Callithrix jacchus: one gene and its partner. The protein of the gene in region 1 purifies or fractionates together with the protein of each later gene. This does not show direct contact. Links are inferred from orthologs where the notes say so. Each region holds a gene or a part of one and is shown in the gene's direction. Other genes may lie near its edges. The genes, in order: CPSF6 and SRPK2.

Region 1 (9,734 bases):
AGTACACAACAGTGTGCAAGTTCTGTAGCCCTGCCATTCTTTTTCTATTATTTCCATCTTAGATACAGAAAGAAACTACATTGTAATTCTTAGATTCAAGGAAAGCTATGTGGATGTGTGTTATGGTGGGGGAGAGATCACTGATAACCAGAAAATGTTCATTGATTTTTCTGCTTGGCAACAAGACCTTTCACCACTTGGTAAATTGAATATAGAAAAGATTTGTCATTGCATATTTAAGGATGTTATCACTTAAAGAGATAAGATGGATAATTATGTAATTAACAGAAATTCAAGTGGTTCCTTTTCTTTTAATATTTTAGCACTTAAGGCTTAACTGAAGAAGTATGTTACAAAATTTAAATGATGTAATACTCAAATTAAGATATCTTGAAGAATTTCGGTCTTGGCTGCTGCAGAGTACTGGTATTGAAAGTAACTGATATTTACTTATGTAAAATATATTTAAACCTGGATATTTTGAGTCTTTAAAAGTACCCAAATAAATGTGAATGTTTTCCTTACCCATACTTTGTCATGTAGTTTGGATAGTCACAAGGCATTTGCAAGTTAACATATTGTATAAATGAACTTTGAAATAGAGTTGTTTTTAATAATATTGGCTACATTTCAGAAAACTATTTTTATTAAGTGCTATTTATGAGTATTTGGATATTTGCAGCTACACAATCAGGACAAATGTCTGGGGAAGGTAAAGCTGGTCCTCCAGGAGGGAGTTCTCGTGCAGCATTTCCACAAGGTGGTAGAGGACGGGGCCGTTTTCCAGGGGCTGTTCCTGGTGGGGACAGATTTCCTGGGCCAGCAGGACCAGGAGGGCCACCCCCACCTTTTCCAGGTAAAACTTTTCTTAAATTACCATTGATAAAACGTCTACCTAATACCTCTTTTCCTTTTCTCTCTTTTTCAAGTAATGCATTATTAATGTGACTTACTCTCCTTGTTATGCTATTTTTGGAATCCAGGAAATTTGATCAAGCATCTTGTTAAAGGAACTCGGCCTTTGTTCCTGGAAACTAGGATTCCATGGCATATGGGGCACAGCATAGAGGAAATACCCATTTTTGGCCTAAAAGGTCTTTATTTTTCTCCAAACTTGCTTGACTTATATATAGAATATTTACATCCGTCTTATTTTCTTACCTCTTAAAAAAATCCTTTCAAGATCATTTTTCCTTGTTTCACTTTCTAGCTTTGCATCAGAGTAGAATATAAGGTGGGTGATTTCACTGTAAGAAGTGTGTGTACGCTAAAAGATGGAAAATATCTCTAGGTGCTGTAATCTTTTTTAAAATTTTTGTTTGAATAAATTTTCGTAAACATAAATTGAGCTAGTTAAATATGAAAGGATATACTTCATCATTGTAGTTGATAACGTAACATTTGTCATATATGAGTTTTATTTAAAGACAAAGCCTTGGTATATGCATTATGCTTTTAAAGTATAATCTTGGCATATGAAAGTTAAAATATCTTATTAGTGAAGTGTTTTTTTCTCTCTCTCTCCCCTTTGTTCTTTAGCTGGACAGACTCCACCACGTCCACCCTTAGGTCCTCCAGGCCCACCTGGTCCACCAGGTCCTCCACCTCCTGGTCAGGTTCTGCCTCCTCCTCTAGCTGGGCCTCCTAATCGAGGAGATCGCCCTCCACCACCAGTTCTTTTTCCTGGACAGCCTTTTGGGCAGCCTCCATTGGGTCCGCTTCCTCCTGGCCCTCCACCTCCAGTTCCAGGCTACGGCCCCCCTCCTGGCCCACCACCTCCACAACAGGGACCACCTCCACCTCCAGGCCCCTTTCCACCTCGTCCACCTGGTCCGCTTGGGCCACCCCTTACACTAGCTCCTCCTCCGCATCTTCCTGGACCACCTCCAGGTGCCCCACCGCCAGCTCCGCATGTGAACCCAGCTTTCTTTCCTCCACCAACTAACAGTGGCATGCCTACATCAGATAGCCGAGGTCCACCACCAACAGACCCATATGGCCGACCTCCACCATATGATAGGGGTGACTATGGCCCCCCTGGAAGGTAAGTTAGTGTGTGTCTGTAAAAGTACTTGATAAAAGATAAAGATAGGAATAATAACTGTGAAAATAAATATTAGATTATAGATGTATAAAAATGTTATTTCTGCCTTCCAAGAAGTTGAGGGATCTAAGCTGCTACTCTTATAGCTGAAAGATACTTGTATAGGAGAATTGTGTTTAGACATGTTCTCTTTATAGGAAATGTAGCATGCTTCAATCTGGAAAAGTAACCACTCTCTCTAAGGCACATGTCAGAAGCAGCTAGTGTGAATTGCTTTACACTGTTGTGACTGACTTAGAGTTTGAGTTAAGGTTTATGTTTTTACTTTACAGGGAAATGGATACTGCGAGAACGCCATTGAGTGAAGCTGAGTTTGAAGAAATCATGAATAGAAACAGGGCAATCTCAAGTAGTGCTATTTCGAGAGCTGTGTCTGATGCCAGTGCTGGTTTGTATATTTCTTGTATTAATGTTTCTTGTTTATGTTATTAGAAATGACCTAAAAATGTAAGTGCAGTCTAGAAGATAGGTCATTTACATGTAGTAGTTCTTTTTGTATTCCCAAATCATTAACTGTCATTTATTTAAAAAGCATTGAAAAAAAGCTGTGTCACAGTGTAGTGGGGAAAATCCAAATTTAAGTTATTTGGTATAGATTTAAGTCTTACCCTTGACATTAGATGGTTCAGGGGACTAGGACACCTATTCTTATATTTGCAAAATGATAACATGCTTCACACACCTGTAATAAGTTAATATGAGAATGAAAGGCTTTTGTAAATGGTGAAATACTAAAAGAAGACATTTATCTTGTATAGTTATTTTATAGCACACTACTTTTGTAAAATGCGTTACCACTCTTACCCCAAGTGGTTTGATGGTATTTTGAAAACAAAATTTGTTTAATTTCAAACTCTTTTTCTTTCCCCCACAGGTGATTATGGAAGTGCTATTGAGACATTGGTAACTGCAATTTCTTTAATTAAGCAATCCAAAGTATCTGCAGATGATCGTTGCAAAGTTCTTATTAGTTCTTTGCAAGATTGCCTTCATGGAATTGAGTCCAAGTCTTACGGTTCTGGATCAAGGTAAAACTTTCCTGTCTCATTTCTATTTAAAGAAAACTATTAGTTTACAAGTGGAAAAAATACTGTGTTTGAGATATTAGAAAGAGGACTTTGCTTTTACTTACTGATTATTTAGCAGCTGGAGTTTCTTTTGTTGTTGTTTGTAAACTCTAAATGTTAGTTGCTTGCTTAAAACCCTTCAAAGGCTTCTACTCAGTCTTAAAGCAAGATTGTAAAGATCGAGGCACTGTGTAATAAAGCCCCTGCCTATCTTTTTAGCCTCATTTTGTACCTTTTCCCTTACTCACTGTTCTCCAGCCATATTTCTCCTTTTTCTCTAGATAGATCAAACATTTGACCACCTTACTTTATATTCCTTCTGCTAGGAGCAGTTTTCCCTGTCTCTTCACATAGCTGGCTCCTTATTCTTCTCATCTCAATCTAACTTCTTAAGGGGGCTTCTCCCAAGTTAGTCTGTCTTATTGTTCTTTTTATTTCTTCCATAGTACTTACCATAACCAATTCTTAGGTGTTATAAAGGCATATTTCTCATTAGAACACATGTTGAGTGATGACAGGGGCTTTATGCTGCTCACCGTATTTCTTTTCTTTTAAGAGATGAGGTCTTGCTAAGTTACCAGCTTGGCCTCCCAAAGTGCTGGGATTATAGACATAAGCTACTGTGCTCAGCCATTCTCACTATATTATTTCTGTTGCCGACAGAGTGTCTGGTACAGAATGAGTGCCAAATAAAAATTTCTTGAATGAGGGACTGAATGAATGAATGATCTATCTTTTAGGTAGTGTTGGTTTTGTTTTTAGCATTGCTGCTAACTTTGAAATTTTATATATTTTTGAAAGGCAGTCCTTTAATCTTCACTTGGTATTCTTAGATGTGTTTTTAGTGTACTCTACCTAGTGGTAGTCTTCTTTAAGAGAAAGGAGCTTGCCTTTCACATGGTCCCTAATTTTGTGATTATTACCTTTTTGACCCAGTGTAAGAATCTTGGTATCTGAACAGATTTGTCATAGATACAGGTATTTGGTATCATCTTTTTAGGCTTTAAGGTCCAACGTAATAACTTTTGAATTCCATCACTTTCGGAGGCCAAAGCAAGAAGTTTACTAGAGCCCCAGGATTTTGAGACTAGCCTTGGCAACATGGGGAGACTTCATCTCTATAAAAAATTTTTTTAATTAGCTGGGCCTGGTGCTGCATGCCTATAGTCCTGCCTACTTGGGAGGCTGTGGTAGGCAGATTGCTTAAGCCCCAGAGGTCGAGGATGCAATGAACTGTAATCATGTCCCTGCACTCCAGTCTGGATGACAGAGACCCTCTCTTGAAAAAGAAGTAACAACTTACGCCTTGATCAAGGAGCTTAGCACTTAATGTTTGTTAAGCTTAGCTGTCTGGTGCAGAAATACAAGGCATAAATATTCTTGTTTAATAGATAGTTATTATTTCCTTACTATAAATTTAGCAGAATTTGTAGAGGTCTTTAAGGCAGTAAACTTTGGTTTAATTATTTGTTTTTAAAAAATGGCAGTTCATGAAATGTTTCTTTTTATTAAATACAGTGTGAATACTATATCGATTCATGCTACTAGTCATAATCGTTAGCCTTCTCCCATGCCTCTTCTCCCCTGAACATAATGTGTGTATTAGAAAGTTTCTTAGTGTTGGGTGCTGCTTCTCATGAACTATATTTTGGTTAGGTAGAAATGTAAGATTAGTATTTTAACATATGTTAAATAACATGTTAATAGGCTGTCATTTTCATGTATTTAAGTCCCATTGTGTGTTGTGATTTTATGAATTTTATATCTGAAAACATACTGTAGATGTTCTTTAGCTTAAAACACAAGTGCTTTGAACTTTTCCCTTTTCTGTTTGTTTATTCAGTAAATACTCCATGTCTATTTATGCTGCTAGTTTAAATTGATGATGTGATGCATTTCTGTGATGTGTCTGCTTACTGTTTTTTTTTTGGTAGTGTTTTTTAATAATGAAATTTCTGATTCGTGCTTACTGGTGAGTTGGTAAGTCATTATTGGCAGTTCCAGATAGTAAATTTAAACCAGATTTACAAAGAATCTTTTGCCACGTTAGATTTTTTTAGACACCAAAAAATTGACTATTTTTAAACTAATTATGGAGAGCATTAATCCAGTAATTTCTTTTAGAAGACGTGAACGATCAAGAGAGAGGGACCATAGTAGATCACGAGAAAAGAGTCGGCGCCATAAATCCCGTAGTAGAGACCGTCATGATGATTATTATAGAGAGAGAAGCAGAGAACGAGAGAGGCACAGGGATCGGGACCGAGACCGTGACCGAGAGCGTGACCGAGAGCGCGAGTATCGTCATCGTTAGAAGGTGGGTATTCCTTGTTCCTGTTATATTTAGCGTGTGTATTCTTAACAGTAACTATAACTCCAAGGCTACTATTTATACAGTATATACCTACATTTTAAATGGTCCAACTACTTGTGAATTTAATCTTGAAACATCTGAAACAAATAACAGGTAAGTAATGACAGGTAAAAATTTTGACCCTTTATCTTTAAGTATTTTATTGCTGAGTTAATCACTTTTAGGTTTCAAATAATTAATGGTCTTAACAAAGCAAGGAAATAATCAAGAGGACTCATTGCGTACTTCTAAAATCTAAAAATTGGGATTCTTGTAATCACATACTTAGTTTGTGTGTAATTTAAAATATAAAATACAGGGAGTTATTTCATATATATGTTTGGATTTTTAAAAATAAATGGAATGTGGCTATTCTTGAACTAGTTTTATTTGTCCCTAAAAATTTATGAGAAAATCTAACACAATCATAGTTTGTAATATAGGAGGGTGTTTTCTCAACATTCAAAGAGCCTTTTTCCTTAAAAAAAAAAAAAAAAAAATTTTTTTTTAGAAGAGACATTGTTTTCCTGACATCTGGTTTTTGTTTTTAAAAGAAACAGTATCCTTTAATTTGCAAAGAAGATATAAAAGTTATTCAGTTAAAATGGGTTCAGGGTGTACCATATCTAAAAAATTTAAATTGTGTTAAGCCATATACCCAAGTTTAGAATAACTTGAAATAATTTTCTTTGATGTTTCATTCATAAATCATAATCATTGTCTTTTTTTCTGTATTTTAAAACTATTTCTTGTGTACATTTTTCATAAGTGGGAAGAGTTGTCTGTTTATGCTTCATTTTCACATGTAATTTTATTTTTTATATTTGTTAACAGCATTTATTCATGTGAAGAGCTGGGGGAGGGCACTATAAGGCTTATGCATGTGACACAAAGGTTATTCTGTAAATTAAAATATTTTTTCTTTATATATTGGTTGGCATATTCAAATTAAATAAGGCTAAAACAAACCCCTCACATGTAGATTACTCTTTATGTGATTATTTTCAGTAATCATGGGAAACTTACTGAAAATTCAGTCATGGTAATTGTCAGTATTTAAAATGTTATGGGCAAAATTAAAGGCTTTATCAAGTGTATGTAATTCCATGACAGAATAGCAATTTCTTTAACCATAACAGATAACATTTTAGCAAATGAGACCCTTAAATGCCTAGAAAATAAGCATGCTGTTTTTGTGGAGCACAAATAAGCTCTTAAGTTTACAATTTTAAGGACTTTTTAAGTTAAAAGGCTGGTTTTGATACTTTTCTTTGCATTTTGAATATGCAGATCGAATATCAAAACTTTAATTTTTATATAGTTTTCCATGTATTGCAAAATACAAATCTCAAAACATTCTTTTAATGAGGCAAAAAAATTATACTTTTAAAATTAAGATTATTAAAATTGATATTGTTTTTGGATGTAAAAATTGACTATTGTATTATGTAAATCTAAACATTAAAATTTAAAGATGTAGCAATCTCTTCCCTTGAGTTAAATATATCTGATCCCATTTTAATGAAAAAAATTTCAATATCCATCAGTTGCTTAAGGTGGATTGTGACTGGGCTATTAGTTGAAATGCTTATCTATGTCAGCCATTTCCATTATAGAAAGATACAGATTCTATAAGTTACCTATTTTTTTAGACTTTGTAAGTTATCAACAAGCTTCTAGTTAGTAAAGGCATGATAATGAAACTTGAATTCATCTCCGAAATTGGATGTGTCCATCAGGGGTTCTCTAAGCCGATTTAAACCCAAAGTTAACTAATTACAGTTTTCTTACTGGTTTTAGTGAAACTAGCATAGTCAACAAGTAAATGTTCTGAAAAGTCTATTGTTAAAGTATTTGAGTTACCTAACATTACATTCTAGTAATGGGTACACCTAAGTAACATCATGGCTTGAGTTTCATTACATTCAGACATTAACTGCAGATTCCTAATGTGCAAACTATTGTTGACATTTTTCTTAATCACTGATGTACCATACCAGAATTTCCATGTTTTGTTTGTACATTAATCAGAATTGAGTTGTAATACTGTATGTGCCTTCATCCAAGCAAAATTTTACATAAGCATTTCTAGTGCAAAAAATTTTGTTATCCTGGATTATTGTACGTTTGCTGTATCAAACAGTATTTATTGTGGATGTAGACAAGAGTAAAGGGGTGGGGAATGGGATTAAATATATTCAAGTAAAACTCTTTTTAAAACAAAAGCTATCTGCAAATTTGATCACCAACATAATAAAGTCTGTTGACCTTTTTAGAAGTTTTAAAATATGAGTCCTTTTGAGCTTTCATGTAAATCTTAAATGGACTAAATGGAATGAGTGAGTTGAAAGCTAAAGTGAATGTCAGTAGTAAGGCTGTATACAAATAAAATACTAATGTAATCTATTAAAGTGATGATGAATGGATAAAAGGGCAAGTCCTTAATTAAACTGGAAACTTAATGATCTTGGCAAGCTGTTAATGTCTGTCCCATCTTAATTTTTTTTGTGTTTGAACTGTTGGTAACGTTAATTGCATTCTCTCATTTTAAAATGTATTGGTTTTTCTAAAAGTATTCAGTATCTAAGTTCAAATACATAATATTTCAATGAGAAAATACCAGTATTGTAAATTTTCAGTATGTAAATACATTGTGCTTCATATTCTGTAATTTCTGCCTCTATTCTCAGACCACTCTGAGCAAAATAAAAGTAGTTCAGTGCTTTAAGATAGTACGTTTCTTACTGAAATAATTCTAGTTTCATAGTTGAGCTGCTTAAAAGGTTGCATTCCTCTTGTTACTTCTTTGGAATATCCCTACTCAGCAAATTGGTTTTAACAATTTACCTTTTCTTTGTTTACTGAAACCAAATTATTTTTTTAAAATACTCTTTATTTAGGCTTTTCCTCTCCCTATTTTATGAGGTTTTACAATTCTCAAATCATTATCCATGACTTTGACACAATTTTTAAGCATTTGGTATGGGGTCTGGATTCAATAACTTGCCTTTGCTGTCTTACAACCTTTTTCCTACCTTAAATATCTTGACCATAAGATGTTAGATTTTGTTATTTCACGAGATTTAGGACGCTTTGCATTGTGTATTTAACTTACTGTGTTAATTTGAGAAAAAAAAAAGCCAAAAGAGTAAAGGAAAATTCTTTCTTACATGTTAAAGATGTTTCATTTTCTTGTTATTGTTGCTTTGAGTCTTATGTGAGAATTAAATTATCTTAATTACCTGGTGAATTATACTGGTTGTAATAAGATTTTAAAATTGTTTCTACAACTCTTAGGTTATGTGAGGTCTGCCTTATACCTCTCAGCCCTGTATTCTAACTGCTCTGCTTCATCTGGATATGCTAGCTTTCATTGCTTTAGCTCTGATTTTCCTTGCTTTGAGTATTTACAAAATCTGTCTCACTGCACAGCTGACTTAATTCATGTTACAAGAGGAAGTAGGACGTGATCCCTTGAATGGATGTATAGTGTGTTTTGCTCACTGTGGTTTAAGAATATAGTTTTGTTTTCAAATGATTAATGTTCCCTGTTTAAAAAAAAAAACCTCAATGCCAGTGTGAGTCACCTTGCTCTCTCACCTTCATCTCAGTGTTCAATTTACTACCATTGTTTTAGTTTGTAAAATAGATTGTTTTGAATAAATTCTGTCTTGGATGAATATTTAGTTAACGCTGTTTAGAGAAACCTAATAACCAGAAAGGGGTAAGGGTGCCATTTATGCTATCCAAATTTATGAATTTTTCTTTTGTGGTAGCATGTTTTAACTTTTCATGAATTATAAATAACAGGTTATTTTGAGATGTTCATTTTGTAAATCTTTTTTTTCTTTGACTGTGATTATGTTTATTTCTATTTTAGTGGGTTGTAAGAGCAACAATTATTTATGTGTTGATAGAGTAATAAAATGCTTTAGTTAAAATGAGGTAAGTACTATGTTCAGAGGTAGAAAGATGAAAATATGAAATATTTTGGTAGCAAGGAACTTCTTGTAAATATCTACAACAACTAGAATTGTTTTTATGTAATATGTTCTAGTCAATGCAAGAAGGAATTTTGATTTTAGAGCTATCTTGTATGTAGATAATTGTTTCTCTTGCCCACCTCATTTCCATTCCTCTCATTAAGGAAGGAATTACCAGATAGAGAAAAGTGAATTTTATTTCATTGAGTTAATAGTGCATCTCTAAA
Region 2 (9,734 bases), on another chromosome or scaffold:
TCCAAAGTGCTTGGATTACAGGCGTGAGCCACCACACCCAGCCGATGGTGTTGTTTAGGATGATGAATTGGAACCCTCATACATTGCTGATAGGAATGTGAAATGGTGTAGCTACTGTGGAAAACACTTCGGCAGGTGATCAAAAAGCTAAATATAGAGGTGCCATATGACCTAAGTATGGTAACTCCTAGGTGTATATGCCTCCCCCCAAAAAAAGTATGTTTGCTGGGCACAGTGGCTCACGCCTGTAATCTCAGCACTTTGGGAGGCCGAGGAAGGCGGATCATGAGGTCAAGAGATCGAGACCATCCTGGCCATGGTGATACCCGTCTCTACTAAAAATACAAAAATTAGCTGGGCGTGGTGGCACATACCTGTAGTCCCAGCTACTCGCGAGGCTGAGGCAGGAGAATTGCTTGAACCTGGGAGACGGAGGTTGCAGTGAGCAGAGATCGCACCACTGCACTCCAGCCTGGCGATGGAGATTGTGTCTCCAAAAAAAAAGTATGTTCACACAAAAATGTATATACATGAGTGTGCATTGCATTATTAGTTTTATAGCCCCTAAAGTGAAAATAACGTGAATGTTTATGAAGTAAATGGATAAACAAATGTTATGTCTCCATACAGTGGAATATGATTTGGCAGTAAAACCAGGCGAAGTACTGATGCATGCTGCACAAGAGTCAGGCTTGAAAACATTATGCCAGTTACAAAAAAACACTTTATATGATTCCATTTATAGGAAATGTCTAGAATCACCAAGTAGATTAGTGGTTGCTAAGGGTTAGAGGAGGTACGAGAGAGATGGGGAGTGAATGCTAATGAATATGTTGTTTCTTTTAGGAGCAATGAAAATGATGTCATTTAAATAGTGGTGATAGTTGCACATTTGAAATCTGTTAAATTGTATACCTAAAGGGGTTATATGACACATGAGTATAGTTGTTACTGAACAAAAATACACAGCTGAGGCTTGAATAGCACAAGGGTTAGAGGCACTGACCAGCCCCTTCCAATGAAGTTGAAAATCCATGTCTGACTTTTGACTTGACCAAAGCTTAACTACTAATATTCTGCTGTTGATCAGAAGCCTTTCCTGATGACATTAACAGTTGTTTAACATGTATTTTGTATGTGTGTTATATAGCATATTGTTACAATAGAGTAAGCTAGAGAAAAGAAAAGAAAGTATGTTTACCATTTATTCATTAAGTGGAAGTCGATCATCATAAAGGTCTTCATCCTCATCATCCTCATGTTGAGTAGGCTGAGGGGTTGGTCTTGCTGTCTCAGGAGTGCAGAGGTGGAAGAACATCTGTGTATAAGTGGACCCATGCAGTTCAAACCTTCAAGGTTCAACTGTATATAGATGCATTTGCTTCCACAAGCATAATCTCTGAAATGATATACACTGGTTTCTTATGGGAAGGAGAGCTGGATTCCAATGAGGTTAGGAATGGGAGGGAGATTTTTACTAAATATCCTTTTGTGTTTATCAAACTTGGTAGCCTGTCATTGTATTTTATGCTTTTCAAATAAATAAAACTTATATAAAGAGGTATTAATAGCTTATCTTCTCTCTTAATTTTACTATGTCCAGGTCCTTCAAGGATTAGATTATCTGCACAGTAAGTGCAAAATCATTCATACTGACATAAAGCCAGAAAACATCTTGATGTGTGTGGATGATGCATATGTGAGAAGAATGGCAGCTGAGGCCACTGAGTGGCAGAAAGCAGGTGCTCCTCCTCCTTCAGGGTCTGCAGGTGAGGGACTGAGCCAGCTTCATTTCAGTCTGTCTGAGGTATTGTAAGCTTGCAATGTTGTATGTTGAAGGTTTCTCAATCAAATGTTACATGTAAGGACATTTTTGGCAAAGTTTAATTTCTGGAAATAACTACACCCTTTTCTTGAGATGGAAAATGCCCCAGGTACATTATATTTTAATATTTGAATTACTTGCCATTTAAATTTGTAGTTGCTGCTTCATTAATATTGGAACAGTTTTTTCTGTTGCCCACTTCTCTGCAGAGGAGAACATAATAACAGCTTTCCTGGAGCTGACTTTTAGTCATCAGAATATTTTTCTAGCTTCAGTTATGTTACAGTAATTCCTATTGTCCATTTGTCATAGCTACGTCAATCTGAGTTTTATCAGTGGATTTGGAGTTAGTTAGAAAAGGCCTGATGGTGGGGGAAGAAGACCAAGTGACCTGAGTATTGGCATATCTTTATTTCTGGTGGGGGTGCAGTGAAATGTGGACTGTGCTTTTGTGGATCTTCAACATTGTCTGTGCCCTTGTGTTGTCAGGCAAGCATAGATAGTAAAGGGCTGAGACTCTGGAGACTGCCTGGGGCTCTCTTCACATCTCCTCTACTGCAGGTGTTGTTTAGATCATGGACCCAGACTGTCAAACTTATGGCCCTGATAGGGTTTAATCATGTGATTTCTAGAATATTAGCTGCATACCAACTGCAGTATTTGATTTAAATTGTAGAAAGCTTGCAAAATAGATTTCAAATATAAATGTACATCTAATCTAAATTGTTTATTTCATTTTATTTATAACAAATTTGGTTTAATGACTGTGATATGTATGAATTATTTTCCATTTTCTTAAGCTATCTGTTGGTGCTTTGGGATTGACTGTTTTTGAGATGTATTAGTATTTCATTTTAGATAAATAAAAGAAATGGCTCAGTATGAACAACTTTTCTGCTATGCATTTTAAGAGTCCGTTGTTTGTTTCAGTTGCATAAACTTTCTCTAGATCCCAGTGATTACGAAGCTCTGATTAATATGTTTGTGAAGTTGGATAGTCATTAAAAGATAATAATTATGTCATTTTGCAATCCAAATGACCTGCATGAAGGTATGTGTCTGTTTTCTGCTAAATACCAATTTTGTTTCATTTTATTTTAGTGAGTACGGCTCCACAGCAGAAACCTGTAAGTACTTAACGCATATTACTTTTATGCACCATGGCAAAAGAAACTGTTTGAGCAGTTCAAATTATTAAAAAGTGGTAGTATATATTAATTTAAAGGGTAGACACATTTATAAATGCTGTGTATCCTCAAATATTTAAGACTTACTGTCTTGTTAAGTGTTTTTTGGATTTTGTGTGTGTATGTGACTGAGTCTTGCATTACTGCTCAGGCTGGCATGCAGTGTTGCGATCTTGGCTCACTGCAGCCTCCCCCTCCCAGGTTCAAACGATTCTCCTGCCTCAGCCTTCCGAGTAGCTGGGATTACAGGCACCCACCACCATGCTCAGCTAATTTTTGTACTTTTAGTAGAGATGGAGTTTCACCATGTTGGTCAGGCTGGTCTCGAATTCCTGACCTCAAGTGATCTTCCCATCTTGGCTTCTCAAAGTTCTGAGATTACATGCATGAGCCATCACACCTGGCCTGTCTCGTTAAGTTTTAGGGATCTCTGCAGAATTGGAATGGTTAGAGCCTTTCAATGATTGTCTTCTTTATGCATTTTCTGGACTACGGTTGGCCAAGTCTAATGAAATGTGAGGTGGTGGAGTTGAAGCACTTTTATTTCAAAACCACTTTATATTATTTCTGATTGGCTGCTAAGTTACCTTTTCCGAAGCTGTTGTTCTAATTTTTTTCCAGCCAGATGTTAAATAAGAAAGAGATAGTTTGTAGTCCTGTCAAAACACTATGTCAGTACTAGGTACCAGGTGTGGTGGCTGACACCTGTAATTCCAACATTTTGGGAGGCTGAGGCCAGCAGATCTCTTGAGGTCAGGACTTCGAGACCACCCTGGCTAACATGGTGAAACCCTGTCTCTACCAAAAAATGCAAAAACTAGCCGAGTGTGCTGGCGGATGCCTGTAATCTCAGCTACTCAGGAGGGTGAGGCAGGAGAATCTGTTGAGCCCAGGAGGGGGAGGTTGCAATGAGCTGAGATTAGGCCATTGGACTCCATCCTGGGTGACTGAGTGAGACTCTGTCTCAAAAAAAAAAATCAGCCGGGCATGATGGCATGTACCTGTACTCCCAGCTACATGGGAGGCTGAGGCATGAGAAACACTTGAACCCAGGAAATGGAGGTAGCAGTGAGCCAAAGTCACGCCAGTGCACTCCAGCCTATGCAACCGAACAAGACCCCATCTCAAAGAAAAAGAAAACAACAACAAAAAACAAAATAACAAGAAAACACTATGTTTACTGAGACAACCCTTGATTTGGAACGTAAGTTCTGGAACAAGAGGGAGCTGTAATAATTAGGCTTCCTGGCTTGCTGAGGAGCCCAAGTTGTTTCCCATAGTTCTTCCCTGGCTCAAGCCACCTGAGTTTACTGTATGAAGGATTGGAGGCTCTCCTTGCCAGTGCTTTGCAAGTCAGCTGGCCATGATGGGAGGCAAACAAAAGCTGTGGCTTTTTCTTCTTTCACATTGCTGCTTAGGCTTATCTCTTACAGTTCATGTTGTCTTGGCTGGTAAGAGCTTCCAAGACATATGTGAGACCCAAACACAGTGACATACACCTGCTTGGGCACCTGTTTCATTTTTGGTAGTGAGGAGATGGGATGTTGTTATTTTGTATATAGAGGGCAGCAAATAAAACTTCCAAGAGGAGCTTCTCTAAGGCCAAGAGAATTTTGGACTTCAGTTCTCTGAGAGTTTGAATGGTGAAGGCTTACTGGATTTAAGCTGTATCCCTCTGAGGGCAGGACCTGGTAGTAGACCTAGCATGTGATATCAGTCAGCACTGCTTTCCCTTTGATTTTACCATAAGCCTTACCATGAGGTGGATGTCTGGGTTTGGGATTTTAGTAGAATATGGCATGAGAAAGCGGAGTTTTTTGTTAGTTGCCATGCTGCCAGCAGTTATACTATCATGTGTGCTTTAAAAAGAAGAAAACTGACCTGTGGTCTTTTCTTAACATGTTATAGATAGGAAAAATATCTAAAAACAAAAAGAAAAAACTGAAAAAGAAACAGAAGAGGCAGGCTGAGTTATTGGAAAAACGCCTGCAGGAGATAGAAGAATTGGAGCGAGAAGCTGAAAGGAAAATAATAGAAGAAAACATCACTTCAGCTGCACCTTCCAATGAGCAGGATAGTGAATATGGCCCAGAGGTGAAACTAAAAACAACAGGATTAGAGGAGGCAGCCGAGGCAGAGACCACAAAGGACAACGGTTAGTGGGGCCAAGAGCCTGGGCTGCATGGGGTCCTCAGGTTACAATGGGGGCTGATTTGTGCTGCTGCTTCAGATGGCAAGGATGATTCTCTCCAAGTCTCTATTGGGAAATTCGGGAAACATCCTTATAATTCATTTGTGAACTGTATGCCAGAAATACAACATTTCAAAATAGTTTTTAAAAATGTAGAATGTCTGAGAAACACCATGTTTCTATCATGCTAAAGATGGTGCTTTATTTTGTCATTAACTTTTTACCTAACTGTAGTACACCACAAATCTATTTCTGAAGATTGTAGAGGGTGGAAATGGAAGTGCAGCTTTATTTAGAAAGAGTTTTTTTCTCCCAAAGCTAACTTTTTCTTATAAGAGCAGGCCAATTATTAATGAACCAAAAATGAGATTTTGAAAACTTGAAGGTTTTACTCCAAAAGCTGAGAGGTGTTTACTATGAGGTGCATAAGTTAAGCACATTCAAAATGTATTTTATTGATGAGATGTGAGGTTGTATTAAGGAGAGTAACAAGTTCTAATTCTTGACCCATCAACTTCTTAAGGTGAAGCCGAGGACCAGGAAGAGAAAGAAGACACTGAGAAAGAAAACATTGAAAAAGATGATGATGATGTAGATCAGGAACTTGCAAACATAGACCCTACGTGGATAGAATCACCTAAAACCAATGGCCATATTGAGAATGGCCCGTTCTTATTGGAGCAGCAACTGGACGATGAAGAGGATGATGAAGAAGATTGCCCAAATCCTGAGGAATATAATCTTGATGAGCCAAATGCAGAAAGTGATTACACATATAGCAGCTCCTATGAACAATTCAATGGTGAATTGCCAAATGGACGGCATAAAATTCCCGAGTCACAGTTTCCAGAGTTTTCCACCTCATTGTTCTCTGGATCCTTAGAACCTGTGGCCTGCGGTTCTGTGCTTTCTGAGGGATCACCACTTACTGAGCAAGAGGAAAGCAGTCCTTCCCATGACAGAAGCAGGACGGTTTCAGCCTCCAGTACTGGGGATTTGCCAAAAGGTAAGTGTTCTTCTCATCAGCTGTCTGCCATCACTGACTCCCGGGGTGTGCCTTTAACAAATGCTATGAAGGAATTGGCTGAAAGTGACCAACCCCTATATGCTTGCACTAATCATTTTTATTACTTTTATACTCAGGAACAAGTAATGTGATTTAAATGTACATTCTGTGCCACTAGGCTATCTCTCGCTCTCTGATACCAAATCTTATTTCTGACCAGTTGTCATTTTTAATATATTCAGTCAGCAGCATCATTTGCAGAAACCTTCCAGTTTTAGCAACTTACACCTGTAGCTTTCTAGAATGTGTAGTATAATTTGTATCTTGCATCTGTTATGATTGTATTTCGTTTTTGTTTTGTTTTTCTATTCAAGAAAAGTATGCCTGCTCTTTGGCTCTGTTGGGAAAGAAGTGTCATATTGTCTTTTCATAGTTGTTCCTGATTATAGGACCCTGTTATTGATAACCCACCCAGGATTGTGAATTTCAAGGAATTGGCATGGATTTAAATGTGATGACAGATGATAGATTGGCTCTTGTGTTCTTGTCTACCTAAGAAGCCTTGACTTATTTAGACCCTTATTTTGGGAGTGAATGCCAAGTGACTCTGGTGTGTGAAAACTGGGTAACTCAGTTGGTTTCCATTCTGGCTCAAGGTGGGAAAGCTCTGAAACCTCCTGGGCTCCCTCTACTGTCAAGACTGTTTAACACACAGTGAGTAATTGATGAGCCACCCCTGCCAACAGTCCAAGACATTCTGCAGCCCCTTGGTTCCAGCAGGCTGGAATTGCACGATAAGGAGTGAGCTGGCTTTGTTAAGAACTGGCTATGATGAATCCTCCTAAGGATGTGTTTTCTTCACTTGGCTGGACGTGGTCAGCTCCTATTCCCCTTTATAGGGAGTGTTTGAAGGTGCTTACATAGAGTGTAGGTTAATTTCTGAGAAAGGGCAGTAGTGAGATGTACCTTATCCAGATTTATTGTTGCTGTTGCAGTTAAATTTTTCTCTTAGTGAAAGTTTTTATTTTTTTGAGATAGAGTCTTGGTCTGTCGCCCAGGCTGGAGTGCAGTGGTGGGATCTCGGCTCACTGCAACCTCTGTCTCCACGGTTCAAGCGATTTTCCTGTCTCATCCTCCTGAGTAGCTGGGACTAAAGGCATGTGCCACCACATCTGGCCAATTTTTGCATTTTTAGTGGAGACAGGGTTTCACCATGTTGGCCAGGCAGGTCTCGAACTCCTGACCTCACGATCTGCCTATCTCAACCTCCCAAAATGCTAGGATTACAGCTGTGAGCCACAAGTTTCATATAGAAAGTAATTTACAAACTTCCTTTCCTCCCTCCCTCCCTTCCTTCTCCTTCTTTCCTTCCTTTGTTTTCTTTCATCCTGTCCTGTCCTTTTCCTTACCCTTTCCTCTTCCTCTTCCTCTTCCCCTTCCTTCCTTCCTTTTTCCTTTTCCCTTTCCTTTTCCTTTTCTTCTTTTCTTTCTCTCTGTGCCCCTCCTTCCCTCCTTCCTTCCTTTCCTTTCTTCCCTCCCTCCCTCCCTCTCTCCTTCTTTCTCCTTTCATTTTCCTTTTCCCCTCCCCTCCCTTTTTTCTTTCCTTTTTCTTTCTCTCTCTCCCTTCCCTCCCTCCCCTATCCTCTCCCCTCACCTCCCTGTCTCCTTCCTTCCTTCCCTCCCTCCTTTCCTTCTTCCTTCCTTTTCTCCCTCCCTTCCCCACCCCCAACCCCCCACCCCCCACTCTGATGCCCAAGCTGGAGTACAGTGATGCAATCTCGGCTCACTGCAACCTCCACCTCCTGGACTTAAGCAATTCTTCTGCCTCAGTTTCCTGAGTAGCTGGGATTACAGGCGCCTGCCACCATGACCAACTAATTTTTGTATTTTTAGTAGAGACAGGACTTCACCATGTTGCCCAGGCTGGTCTCGAATGCCTGACCTTAGGTGATCCATGTGCCTCAGCCTCCCAAAGTTAATGGTATTACAGGCATGAGCCACCATGATCAGCCCACAGTACGTTTTTTATTCTTACTTATTTTGCAAGTCTTAGCTTGGGCTGGAGTGGCTTCAAGTACAGTCAGCCTTCCACATCCATGGGTTTTACATCTGTGCATTTCACATCTGTGTGTTCAGCCAACCTCAGTTGGGAAATAGTTGGAGCAGAAAAAAAACCCGTGTCTGTTTTGAACATATACACACTTTTCTCCCTTGTCATTATTCCCTAAACAACACATTAAAGCAATTACTTATGTACCATTTACATTGTAGCAGGTACTATAAATAACTAGAGATCAACTGAAGTATATAGGAAGATGTATGTAGGTTATATGCAAAGACTACACCATTTTATATCAGAGCTTGAGCATCTGTGGATTTTGGTATTCTCAGGGTTTCCTGGAACCAGTCCCCTTGCAGACACTGAGAGGCACCTGCATACCAGATTAAATCCCAGCTCAAAACTTAGTAACTGTGGAATTTTGGTTTCTTGTCCTTTCTGAGCCTTGATTTATTCCTCAATCAAAGGAAAGAAATAGCTAACTCTTGGGTTGTTAATAGCACTGAATTAAATAAAACAGGTAAATGGAAAGGGTAGATAAATAACATGTAATATATTGAAAAACCATAATACAACTTTCCCTGCCAACCTGCTAAACATGCTGTATTTCTTATACTTGTTACCACTGTTTCTTGTTGCTCCAGTAAGAAACTTGATGACCATGATGTTTCCTTTTTTTCTCTCACATCCAGTAAATCATCGCATTTTACCAGTTGTACCTCCTAAGTAGGGGACCCCATGCCTTGGCCCTTAGTGGGCACTGTTATTGCTTGTCTGTGCTGTTACAGAGGCTCCTTACTGGTCTCTTGGCTTTGTGTTGTCTCCAGCTTTTCTCCCCACCTGCTTTTCAGCCTGCCTTTCCATGGTGCTACTGGAATATCTTTGCAGTATGCTCATCCAATCAGTGCATTCCCCTGCTCACAGTTTCCACAGCTCCCCACTTCTGCAGCAGTGGTCCCAACAGTGGAGAAAGTACATCCATGCATAACCAGCACCATCCAGTGAGGTGCACGAAGGCATTATTAGAGCATCTGTATATTTGTTTTTATTCTGAAAGAACAGTACAATAAACAATTGGATATCCTCCACATAGACTCAGCAGTTAACATGTTGCCACATTGCATATGTTTTCTTTACACAGGCACTGTGCACTACGCAGATCAGGATACTTCACTCTTAAATACTTTATCATTCACTTTCTGAAAGATGAATTAGGACGTCCTCCATTTGTAACAATAATACTATTATAACATGTAAGAATATCACTAATTTCATATTATTATTGTTATTATTTTGAGACAAGGTCTTGCCCTGTTGTCTAGGCTGGAGTGCAGTGGTGTGATGTCGGCTCACTGCAACCTCTGCCTTCTGGCTCAAGTGATCTTCCCACCTCAGCCCCCTGGGTAGCTGGGACTACAGGTGACACCTCTATGACTAGCTAATTGTTATATTTTTGTTAGAGACAG

The links.
Region 2: the proteins of CPSF6 (region 1) and SRPK2 purify together in Homo sapiens (affinity purification with mass spectrometry; 3 studies listed by BioGRID and IntAct, with this or other methods). This does not show direct contact. The link is inferred for Callithrix jacchus from reciprocal best matches to the Homo sapiens genes CPSF6 and SRPK2.

What each region holds. Positions count from the first base shown.
Region 1 is NC_133510.1:71,754,259-71,763,992, forward strand, and holds part of CPSF6 (cleavage and polyadenylation specificity factor subunit 6), read left to right. Parts: intron 1-682; coding exon 683-856; intron 857-983; coding exon 984-1,094; intron 1,095-1,539; coding exon 1,540-2,044; intron 2,045-2,376; coding exon 2,377-2,492; intron 2,493-2,978; coding exon 2,979-3,132; intron 3,133-5,295; coding exon 5,296-5,485; 3' UTR 5,486-5,488; intron 5,489-9,734. UniProt on the Homo sapiens protein: Component of the cleavage factor Im (CFIm) complex that functions as an activator of the pre-mRNA 3'-end cleavage and polyadenylation processing required for the maturation of pre-mRNA into functional mRNAs.
Region 2 is NC_133512.1:75,521,569-75,531,302, reverse strand, and holds part of SRPK2 (SRSF protein kinase 2), read left to right. Parts: intron 1-1,603; coding exon 1,604-1,769; intron 1,770-2,926; coding exon 2,927-2,952; intron 2,953-4,920; coding exon 4,921-5,167; intron 5,168-5,726; coding exon 5,727-6,209; intron 6,210-9,734. UniProt on the Homo sapiens protein: Serine/arginine-rich protein-specific kinase which specifically phosphorylates its substrates at serine residues located in regions rich in arginine/serine dipeptides, known as RS domains and is involved in the phosphorylation of SR splicing factors and the regulation of splicing.